Saccharomyces cerevisiae S288C: one gene and its partners. The gene in region 2 interacts genetically with the main gene of each other region. Each region holds a gene or a part of one and is shown on either strand. Other genes may lie near its edges.

What was found.
Region 1: mutations in COG7 (region 2) and TLG2 together harm fitness more than expected from each alone (negative genetic interaction), as found in Saccharomyces cerevisiae (5 studies listed by BioGRID).
Region 3: mutations in COG7 (region 2) and ARL1 together harm fitness more than expected from each alone (negative genetic interaction), as found in Saccharomyces cerevisiae (5 studies listed by BioGRID, with this or other methods).

Annotation. Positions count from the first base shown.
Region 1 is NC_001147.6:290,272-294,009, reverse strand, and holds TLG2 (t-SNARE syntaxin TLG2), read left to right. Parts: upstream 1-1,935; coding exon 1,936-3,129; downstream 3,130-3,738. Other genes in the region: ESC8 (Esc8p), read right to left, coding at 1-1,481; TOS7 (Tos7p), read right to left, coding at 3,457-3,738. UniProt on the Saccharomyces cerevisiae protein: t-SNARE that functions in transport from the endosome to the late Golgi and on the endocytic pathway.
Region 2 is NC_001139.9:489,094-492,104, forward strand, and holds COG7 (Golgi transport complex subunit COG7), read right to left. Parts: upstream 1,455-3,011; coding exon 615-1,454; downstream 1-614. Other genes in the region: calcium-transporting ATPase PMC1, read left to right, coding at 1-349; RPN14 (Rpn14p), read right to left, coding at 1,610-2,863. UniProt on the Saccharomyces cerevisiae protein: Acts as a component of the peripheral membrane COG complex that is involved in intra-Golgi protein trafficking.
Region 3 is NC_001134.8:567,240-570,091, forward strand, and holds ARL1 (Arf family GTPase ARL1), read right to left. Parts: upstream 1,188-2,852; coding exon 636-1,187; downstream 1-635. Other genes in the region: EXO5 (Exo5p), read left to right, coding at 1-241; UBS1 (Ubs1p), read left to right, coding at 1,613-2,446; TYR1 (prephenate dehydrogenase (NADP(+))), read right to left, coding at 2,603-2,852. UniProt on the Saccharomyces cerevisiae protein: Recruits golgins such as IMH1 to the Golgi. Can bind and hydrolyze GTP. May be involved in trafficking events within the endosomal system.

The DNA of each region.
Region 1 (3,738 bases), on a different chromosome or scaffold from region 2:
TCCTCTTTGAATTTTACGAAGTAATTAAGATAAGTTGACATGTCATTGAAACTGTAACTAGTGTTTACTGAACTGCATTCGTTGCCAATCCAGAATGGTGGTAAGTAGAAATCTCCAACTCGTGGAATTCTCGCTATCATAAACTCTGATGTCCTTAACTTGTAAATTTCGTCTACGGTGGGATCATCAATTGGTGTGTGTGTAAATTCGTTTGCAAAATATTCACCCCATTCTTCATTTATTTTAACTGCAGCTCGTAATCTGTCTGTAGTTACTTTTTCGCTCAATGATTTCCGAACACCCTTTAGAAATTTCATCTGACTATTGATCTTACTCAGTTTTCCTTTGTCGCTGGGCTTCCTTTTCTTTCGATTTTCCAACTTTTGACTCATCAAAGAGCATAAAACTTCACAACTATCTAATATGTTATTGGCCCCGCACATAGCAAACCTGCTGGCGTGAAAAGTTTGATGGTTGAACCCTGTATCGCCTTTCAAGTGAGTGAGCCTTTGAATTTCATTATGGAAAAGTGCGGAGTAGCTACAATTCCAATCGATCATGCATCTCAATAATATTATTCTATCTAATGGTTCCATCGTCAACAAACCACCTCCATTAAAATTTAGAGTAGATAAAATATCACTATTACCACGCCATTCTTTTGGTAAGCCCCACTCCTGGATTAAGCTTCTGAGTTTGCCAACCAGTTTTCCATATGGATTTTTCAAACTAAGAAATCTTTTTAGCGTGAAATTTCTATGAGTTTGGTTGTCTGCTCTTTTCTCGGAGCAGAATAATAACCTCAAAAGACTGCAAAATAGTAGATTCATTTTATCCTGACAAATTCGAATATTCTTCGCAGAATGGCCAGCCACCTTTAATTCTAGTCCTATCTCCACATCTTGAAATGACAGGTTCAGTAGATCGTCGCTGAACACCCATTTAAATTTGACGATAAAAGAAAGGATCTTCATAACATCGCCTGCATATGGGAGAGGGGTGCAAAGGGGAGGCGCCCAATTGCTTTCCGTTACCGTCTCATCACTCATAAACTTTGCAAAGTCAGAATATCGTAAAGGAATATTTGGTGACCAGTTTAATGTATTCAATGGTCTATTATTAGAAGTAGTGTGTTCACTGATCGACTCTACCTTGTTAGTGTCGTTCGAATGTGTTTTGATATTAGAATATTTGCTTGCCATATTTGCCTCCATTTCTTTAGTTTTCATTTCTTCATCACAGGTACCTTCATATTTCTCCCGCTTTTTAGTATTTTGGGTAGCAGCATCCAGTGATTCGTCAATTGAACTATTGTGAGAAAGTACAACAGGTTCTTCTACAATTTTGATGTTTCTGAAATCATCAAAGGTCAACTGACCCCTTCTTTTTACCCTAGGCTTTGAAGACTGGTTTTTCTGTTGTTTGACCATAGGTTTCTTGATAAAGTCATCGACCAAGTCTAAATCAATAATTTCTGTCATTATTGTACCTCAAATTTCTTGTTCCTTATTTTCTTGTTTGATGTCTAAAAAAAAGAGATATCCTGGTAATGAGCAGGCCGTTTCTTCAGCTCATACAATCGAAAGCTTAAGAGTTAGTCGTTGATATGGTATTCTCTAATACCGAAAATAACTTAGTACATATAAACGCGTAAAGTTCACGCGTTTATATCACCCTACCATATGACATTCTAACCCTACTAATTTTTTATCAAAGCTAATAGGGTTGTATTTTATTATCTTTTACACCTACCTTTTTTTTTTGTATATGCCCTATAGATGAATTATAATTGTTGGACCGGTTTGTATTGGGCTTTTAAGGTGTAAAGTGAGTGCGTATAGATTATAGCAGAATAGACTATAAGTACGGCAAGACAGGAAAGTCTCCAATTGATGTACATTTTATCGCTTTGTGATCTAGGCAGTCGTTACAAACATGTTTAGAGATAGAACTAATTTATTTTTATCATACCGTAGGACTTTCCCTCATAACATAACTTTCTCATCTGGGAAAGCACCCTTGGGCGATGATCAAGATATTGAAATGGGTACATACCCGATGATGAATATGTCTCACGATATATCGGCCAGATTGACAGATGAACGAAAAAACAAGCATGAGAATCACAGTGATGCGTTACCACCCATATTTATTGATATAGCGCAGGATGTTGATGATTATCTTCTGGAGGTGAGACGGTTAAGTGAGCAGTTGGCGAAGGTTTATAGGAAGAATTCGTTACCTGGCTTTGAAGACAAGAGTCATGATGAGGCGCTGATTGAAGATCTAAGTTTCAAAGTAATTCAGATGCTGCAGAAATGTTACGCTGTTATGAAACGATTAAAGACCATATACAACTCTCAATTTGTGGATGGTAAGCAATTAAGTCGAGAAGAGCTGATTATACTAGATAATCTACAGAAGATCTATGCAGAAAAGATACAAACTGAAAGTAATAAGTTCAGAGTATTACAAAATAATTACTTGAAATTCTTGAACAAGGATGATTTGAAACCTATCCGCAATAAGGCCAGTGCAGAGAACACGCTATTATTAGATGATGAGGAAGAGGAGGCAGCAAGAGAGAAGAGAGAGGGCCTCGATATTGAAGACTATTCAAAAAGGACGTTGCAGAGACAGCAACAGCTTCATGACACTTCTGCAGAAGCATATTTGAGAGAACGTGACGAAGAAATTACTCAGTTGGCAAGGGGTGTATTAGAAGTGAGCACTATTTTCAGGGAAATGCAAGATTTGGTTGTTGACCAGGGGACTATTGTGGACAGGATTGATTATAATCTGGAAAATACAGTGGTAGAGCTAAAAAGTGCAGATAAAGAGTTGAATAAAGCAACACACTACCAGAAGAGAACTCAAAAATGTAAAGTCATTTTATTACTAACATTGTGCGTAATAGCGCTCTTTTTCTTTGTTATGTTGAAACCACATGGCGGTGGCAGTGGTGGTCGTAATAATGGTAGCAACAAGTACAACAATGATGATAATAAAACAGTTAATAACAGTCATGATGACGGCAGTAATACCCATATTAATGACGAAGAGAGCAACTTGCCGAGTATCGTTGAAGTAACAGAATCTGAGAATGATGCTTTGGATGACCTACTTTGATGACAAAACTTTCACGGTACCGCATCGCGATTTTGAACTATAATATGCTTTGAAGAAAATTGAGAGATTTAGTCAGCGTTCATATGACCTGTTGCTCGTTCTATTTGAGAAAAGTGAAAAGGTTAATATATGATTTCAATAAAGTATGTAGTATGATAATAAAATACAAATTTATATGGGATAAAATTGAACCGCAAGTAAAGACTGGCGAACGAATATTGTGCATAAGTAGTTCCTGAAGATGATAAAATATGGTTTAATACAAGTTGGTGGTTATTGTGATTTGTAGAATATAAAAAAAAAAAAAGAACCTTCATTTTTCTTTTTTTACCTAAATCCGTAAGGATTGTTCAGTGAAGTAGTAGCTCGGGGCAAGTTTTTGTTTTGCATTCTCCTCTTATAGGCAGGCTTATATCCTTGTGTTATCGGGCTTTGGTTTGGTAAAGGATTCGGAGCAAAACCGACGCCTGGTACCGGATTTCTGTGCTGTGGCACTTGGTTTGGGGCAACGTTGAAATAAGGATTGCTTTGTAAAATAACATTAGAAGGATCTGGACCAGCAGGAGTAGTTCTTTGATATAAATTGTATTGATGATATTGCTGCTGTGG
Region 2 (3,011 bases):
CTTCCAAGACTTGGGTAGAAACTATTATTTTCTCACGATCATGGCGATCATTGGCAGCTGTCAAGTTTTAATCATGTTTTTTGGTGGCGCACCATTTTCTATTGCCAGACAAACCAAATCAATGTGGATAACCGCGGTACTGTGTGGTATGTTGTCTCTAATCATGGGGGTGCTAGTGAGAATCTGCCCCGATGAAGTAGCAGTGAAGGTATTTCCGGCTGCTTTCGTTCAAAGATTCAAGTACGTATTTGGACTCGAGTTCCTCAGAAAAAACCATACTGGAAAACACGACGATGAAGAAGCGCTGTTGGAGGAATCTGATAGTCCAGAGTCCACCGCCTTTTATTAATAGACGCGCTCTATATGTTTATACAAATGTAAGTGACCAAATGAAAAGATGTGTGTAATAGTTATATTTTCAAAATTGTACACTATATTATATAATCAATAAAAAGAAACTATCTGAAATAGCATGTCCTCCTAAACAAATTCCTTTTTACCCTTTTATGCATTACAAGTGGACCAAAAGGACTGGAAATGGTAAAAAGAAATAAGAATTTAAACATGCTATAAATTTCTTTTGTTAATTGCAAATTTTTTGTTTTTATCACCGATTATGATATCATACCATCGTCAATATTCTTGGTTGATAAATAACTTTGTGCTTTTGATTTTATGCTCTCCGAAAAGTTGCTATACTCAGCAAAGAACTTATCTAGGCCTTTAAACAGACATTTCAGTTCAGAAAGTGAATCAATTCTCCCAATCAAATCCTTGTTTGTTTCATCTTTAGCCTCGTTATCAATCGCAGAGCTTAAAGATTCATCGATTGTATCCTCTAATGCTTTCAATGATGTTCTAAAATCTGTTATCGAAAGATCTGTCCCCGTGCTGGTTGTATTATTTTCTCTAACTGTCGAAATATTCGTAACGGTCCTAACTTGTTCCAGGTAATATACCACTTTTTCAATTCTCTCCTTAATCAACATTAAACTTTGCAGTTGTTGCCTCACATTGGTATTGCGATTATTTTCGTTATCTAGATCGCTTAGTTTCTCAGTTACATTATGCATTCCTGTTTCTAATGCTCTTACAGCACTTGCCAACGTATCTAAGTAATATTCAAGCTTCGATGATTTTAAGGATTCAGTAGAATACAATGAGGAATCGTTCTGTTCTGCTTCTTTGTGATACCTAGAAGATGCCCAAGTTCTTGGTAACGTTTGAGATAATTTATCCAAATTCCATATGGTGCTTTCCAACTCTTTTGTAAGGTTCTTTGTGTAAAAATCCAACCTGGTTAATAGCAATGAGGATACTGATTGCGTTTGAATCTGATCTTCGTTTAAGGCATTTGATAAGAGTATATCAACGAATGCATGGGGAACGAACTCCTCATCAAAAAACATACTCAATATATCATCATCATCACCCGTAATTGTCAACTCTACCATATTCTGCTTAGTTTGGCCTTCTTGTTCTTAGTGAATTGTTCTATTTTAGACATATTTCATATGGAAATAAAATGCATTATCACCCTCAAAGCGCATTACGCCAAGCTCATGCAGCGAAGTGAACTTTTTTGAAAAAGTTACTAGTACGAAAGAGGTTAAGGATTACTTAAGTTATACAAAGCGCAGAAGTTGTTTTTTCCAACTTCAAGCACCTCCCCATTTGATTCATCATCAGAAACGTAACAGAATTGGCTGACCTCATCGTCATTGGAAACTAAAAAGGTGGGCGTCTCAAATTCAATAGCGGGCCGTTCACTTTCTGGGTCTGAAATAATGTCAAGCTTAATACTGGTGTCGAATCCAGAAGATACAAATAAGGCTCCGGCTGCAAAGTAGACATTGTTTATTGGGGTGCCTTCATTAATTAAAAACTCACCAACTGGGCATTCCGGTGATCTTAGATCCCATTGAGCTAGCATTCCATTTTCATATCCGGCATAAATATAGTTTGCATTATTGCCATCGACTGTCAATGAATTACATGAACATGTGAACTTGCTTGGGAGTTGAATAGTTTGCTCTTTGGAAAATACATTATGTACAGTAATAACACCAGAAACGTGACCAGCAATCACATATTTTCCATATGTTCCAAACTCTAGATTATTTTTCTTGGAAGTAGAAATTTCATGTAATTGTCTGTCTGTCCCTACGAACAGCGCTATGCTGTTAACACCATCATGCGGGTTTTCTTTTCTGTTAAACGTGTGAATTGTCGTTCCTGTGCCGCACTCCCAAAGGCGAATTGTACCATCCAAAGAGGCAGAGAGCACATTCCTTCCTCGGTCTATTATGGCAATATCTGTGACTGTCGCCCTGTGTCCAATTAACGTGCGAGGATTTGAGCCGTCTTTTACTGACCAGATCTTTAATTGCATATCCTGTGAACTAGATATCAAAGCTTCACCGCTTGGAAAAAACTTTAGTTTTGTTATTTCACTAACGTGAGCTTGGTCAATTTCTCTTTGAAGGTTGAAATTTGAATCCAATACTTTAATATCGCCTTCTGTAGTGCCTAATATGAACCGTCTCATCTGAAGTTTAGCTGTGTCTACGGCAGTATAATCCGCCCTCTTGAGCATCTTTGAACCATCTCTTATGATAGTATTGAATAAAAAATCATGTCCATCCAACCGCGCCTTGTATAAGTGGGAGCCAACCTTTTCAAATGTATTTCCTTTGCCTGCATCTACACCCCTGCTATTTCCTAACACTACTATCTTATGCTCCTTGATTTCATTTAGGTTTTTGTCAACATTGATGTAAAATTCATCGTCATTTTCATCATTTTCTTCCAGAACAGCTTTAAAATCATACTGGATATGAGCAACTGTGATGGTCTTAGTCATTGTCGTTTCTATTGTACTTCGCTATTTCTTTTTACTTTCTGCTCTTAGGGTTGAAAACTTAATTTTTCGAAGCTTCTTTTGCCGATTTCTAGATTATTCGCCCATCCTGACGCCTGTAATATGTCATGTTAAAAACATCACAAAAGTT
Region 3 (2,852 bases), on a different chromosome or scaffold from region 2:
CCACAATATCATCTTCCCATATGATCCCTTGAAACTGGGAACCCATGCCCATGATTCTGCAATGGTTTGGTTTGGTGGCAGAGATATGCATCCAATTGAGCCTACTCAAAAAAACTTCAACACATACTGTAAGTTTTGTGACTACAGACACGTTTGTTCTTGGAAAAATAAAAATGAATTGAAACTTATTGATCTAGGGAAAGAATTAAAAAAAATTATTCTTGAATCAAGTATGAAGTAGTGTAGGTATTGTAACATTATTTATTCTAGTTATTAAAAGGGTGTTGTTTCGTGAATACATTGAAGTCCTTTATTGGGTTATTAAGCACATAAATCTGTTTCTGCTTTCGGACGTCCTGTTTCAATAAATCGGAATTGAAATGACAATTTAATTTAAATGTATATATGCAACTTTCATTAAGAGGTCATTAGGTATTTTAATGCGGCCTTCTCATTCATCGGAACGATGTAATTGCCTTTAGAATTAAAACCCAAAGAGAAACATGTATACACTTACTAACTCTATTATGTTTGGATAGAGCTCCTTGATAATTCAGTTACAAAACAAATTATATGTATATTCAATGCCATTTAAAAAGTATGCATCTACACTTTTTTTTTGCAAATCTTTATCGCTATAACTGTTCCTCTTTTATAACATCAATCAACCAATCTAAACCTTCGGTAATACCTTCGCCTTTAATTGCACTGGATGCTACGATAGACCAACTTCTGTCCTTCAATTCTACAAGATTCAGTTCTTTGGAGACTTCACTGGCACTTAATGCACCCGGTTGGTCTTGTTTATTTGCAAAAACCAGCAGTGCTGCATCTTGCAATTCTTCTTCCTGTAACATCAAATGAAGTTCCTTAGAGGCTGTAGACATACGATCTTTATCAGTCGAATCAACAACGAAAATAACTGCAGCAGTGTCTGCATAATAACACCTCCAGTAGGGCCTGATACTTGTTTGACCACCAAGATCCCAGACGTTCAATTTTAAGTTTTTATAACTTAGCGTCTCTACATTGAAACCAATGGTTGGCTTTGTAGTGACTACTTCGCCAATTTGTAAACGATATAAGATGGTAGTTTTACCTGCACCATCCAAACCCAAAATCAATATACGCAATTCTTTGTTTGAACCCCATAGTTTGTCAAACATTGAACTAAAAATGTTACCCATCTTGATCTATAACTCACTTTACTGGAACTTTCTTCTTAGATCTTTCTTTATTTTTCCTTTGGTTTTAGAAACCTTATTACTCACCGTTTCGTAAATACAAATGAACCACGCAATCCTTTACTACTTGAAAGTTCCGAGAACATTCTGCCTAATATTAATTGTCGTAAATCTAACTTTTATAGGCAAAATAGTTTTATTCAAAATTTCAATTGGAAAGGGCTCTGTTACCCGTCCTGTACGATGCAGTGGGTTTTGTTATTGTCATAAGAAATATTTAACCTACTCTTCCCATATATATCATAGAACACATTCTTAGTATGTTTTGAGAGCATCAATCTAACGTTGCCTTTGTCGTGATTTTGTGCGAGGAGGCGATATAAGAGCTAAACAGATTTTTTTATATTTTAATCAAAAAGCTAATAATTATGGCTTACTCTTTAACAAGGAAATTGCTGAAGGATTGGAAATATTTTATGCGCCATCCTGAGAAGACCCAAGGTCTTTTTCATGTAAGGCCACATGATTCAGACTTACATCTTTGGCACGTGGTAATGTACGAGCCCAGGACTTCTTTGGAAGTATATCTACTACTTTATATTGGCGGAAACGACCAGGATCCATATATCATCATGAAATGTCTGTCTCCAAATTGTTGCTTTCCAATTAACAGAACGGTTTCGATGACACACTTAAACTATCTTTTATTGAAAGACTTGGGATTACAGGATTTACTTTTCCACATATGGCAACCGCTTTTTCATATTCAAGCAACGGAAGACTTACAGTATTCACCGTCAACGGTAAAATTCAACAGGGCGTGGAATAGGATTATATATAAGGACTTTAAATCTTATTTTCCGGAACTGATAGGTACTTTACAACCAGGTGATTACTCTATAGTAAAGAGCTATTCCAAAAATCATAATATCAGCAATAGTAATGGTGGCAGTGTCAATGAATTTATGTCCTCTTACAATGCTCAAAGCCACACCTTTCACGCACAAGACAACAGCAAGAACCCTTATACTAACAGCAGCATAGGAAAGTCTAGTATGTTATCTACTCTCAACAATAATAACGTTAACAAAAGGACACATGACTACAATGCTATCGACTTTATGACCAAAAACTTACTTGCATGTGATGATGACAGTATTCATCCGGTCGTAAGTTCTAAAAGGTCAAGAACGTTGGCATGTCCAGATGAAACGAACGATAATCGCGGTAGTGAGCATTACACAAAGAGGAAAAAAATCTAATGGGTTTATTTTTACATAGAATAGTAGAACTTTCTTCCTTTTTTCACGATTTTTTGCATGGGCATTTGTCACAATATATATTTTTATTCAGTTATATAAATATACTCCTTTTCACAAAAGAAGGCCTAATATTATAGGAAATCAGCATTAAAAACATTATGTATTTCTTTTTTCAGCGGCCGAACGGTCACTAGAATGACTCAGAATGGTTTTTATCATCTCGTTGCCAATGAGATTAGCCTCTGGAAGCATTGGCTCAAAGAACTTTTGAACACTCTGAAATTGCTTTTTGTATATATCAAAATTGGCAAAAGAAACAACCGAGCTCCATTCTCTAGCCGAAATAACAAATTCTAAATCATCTTTTATGAATGATTTATCATGGATAGCTGCATCAATTGTCTGT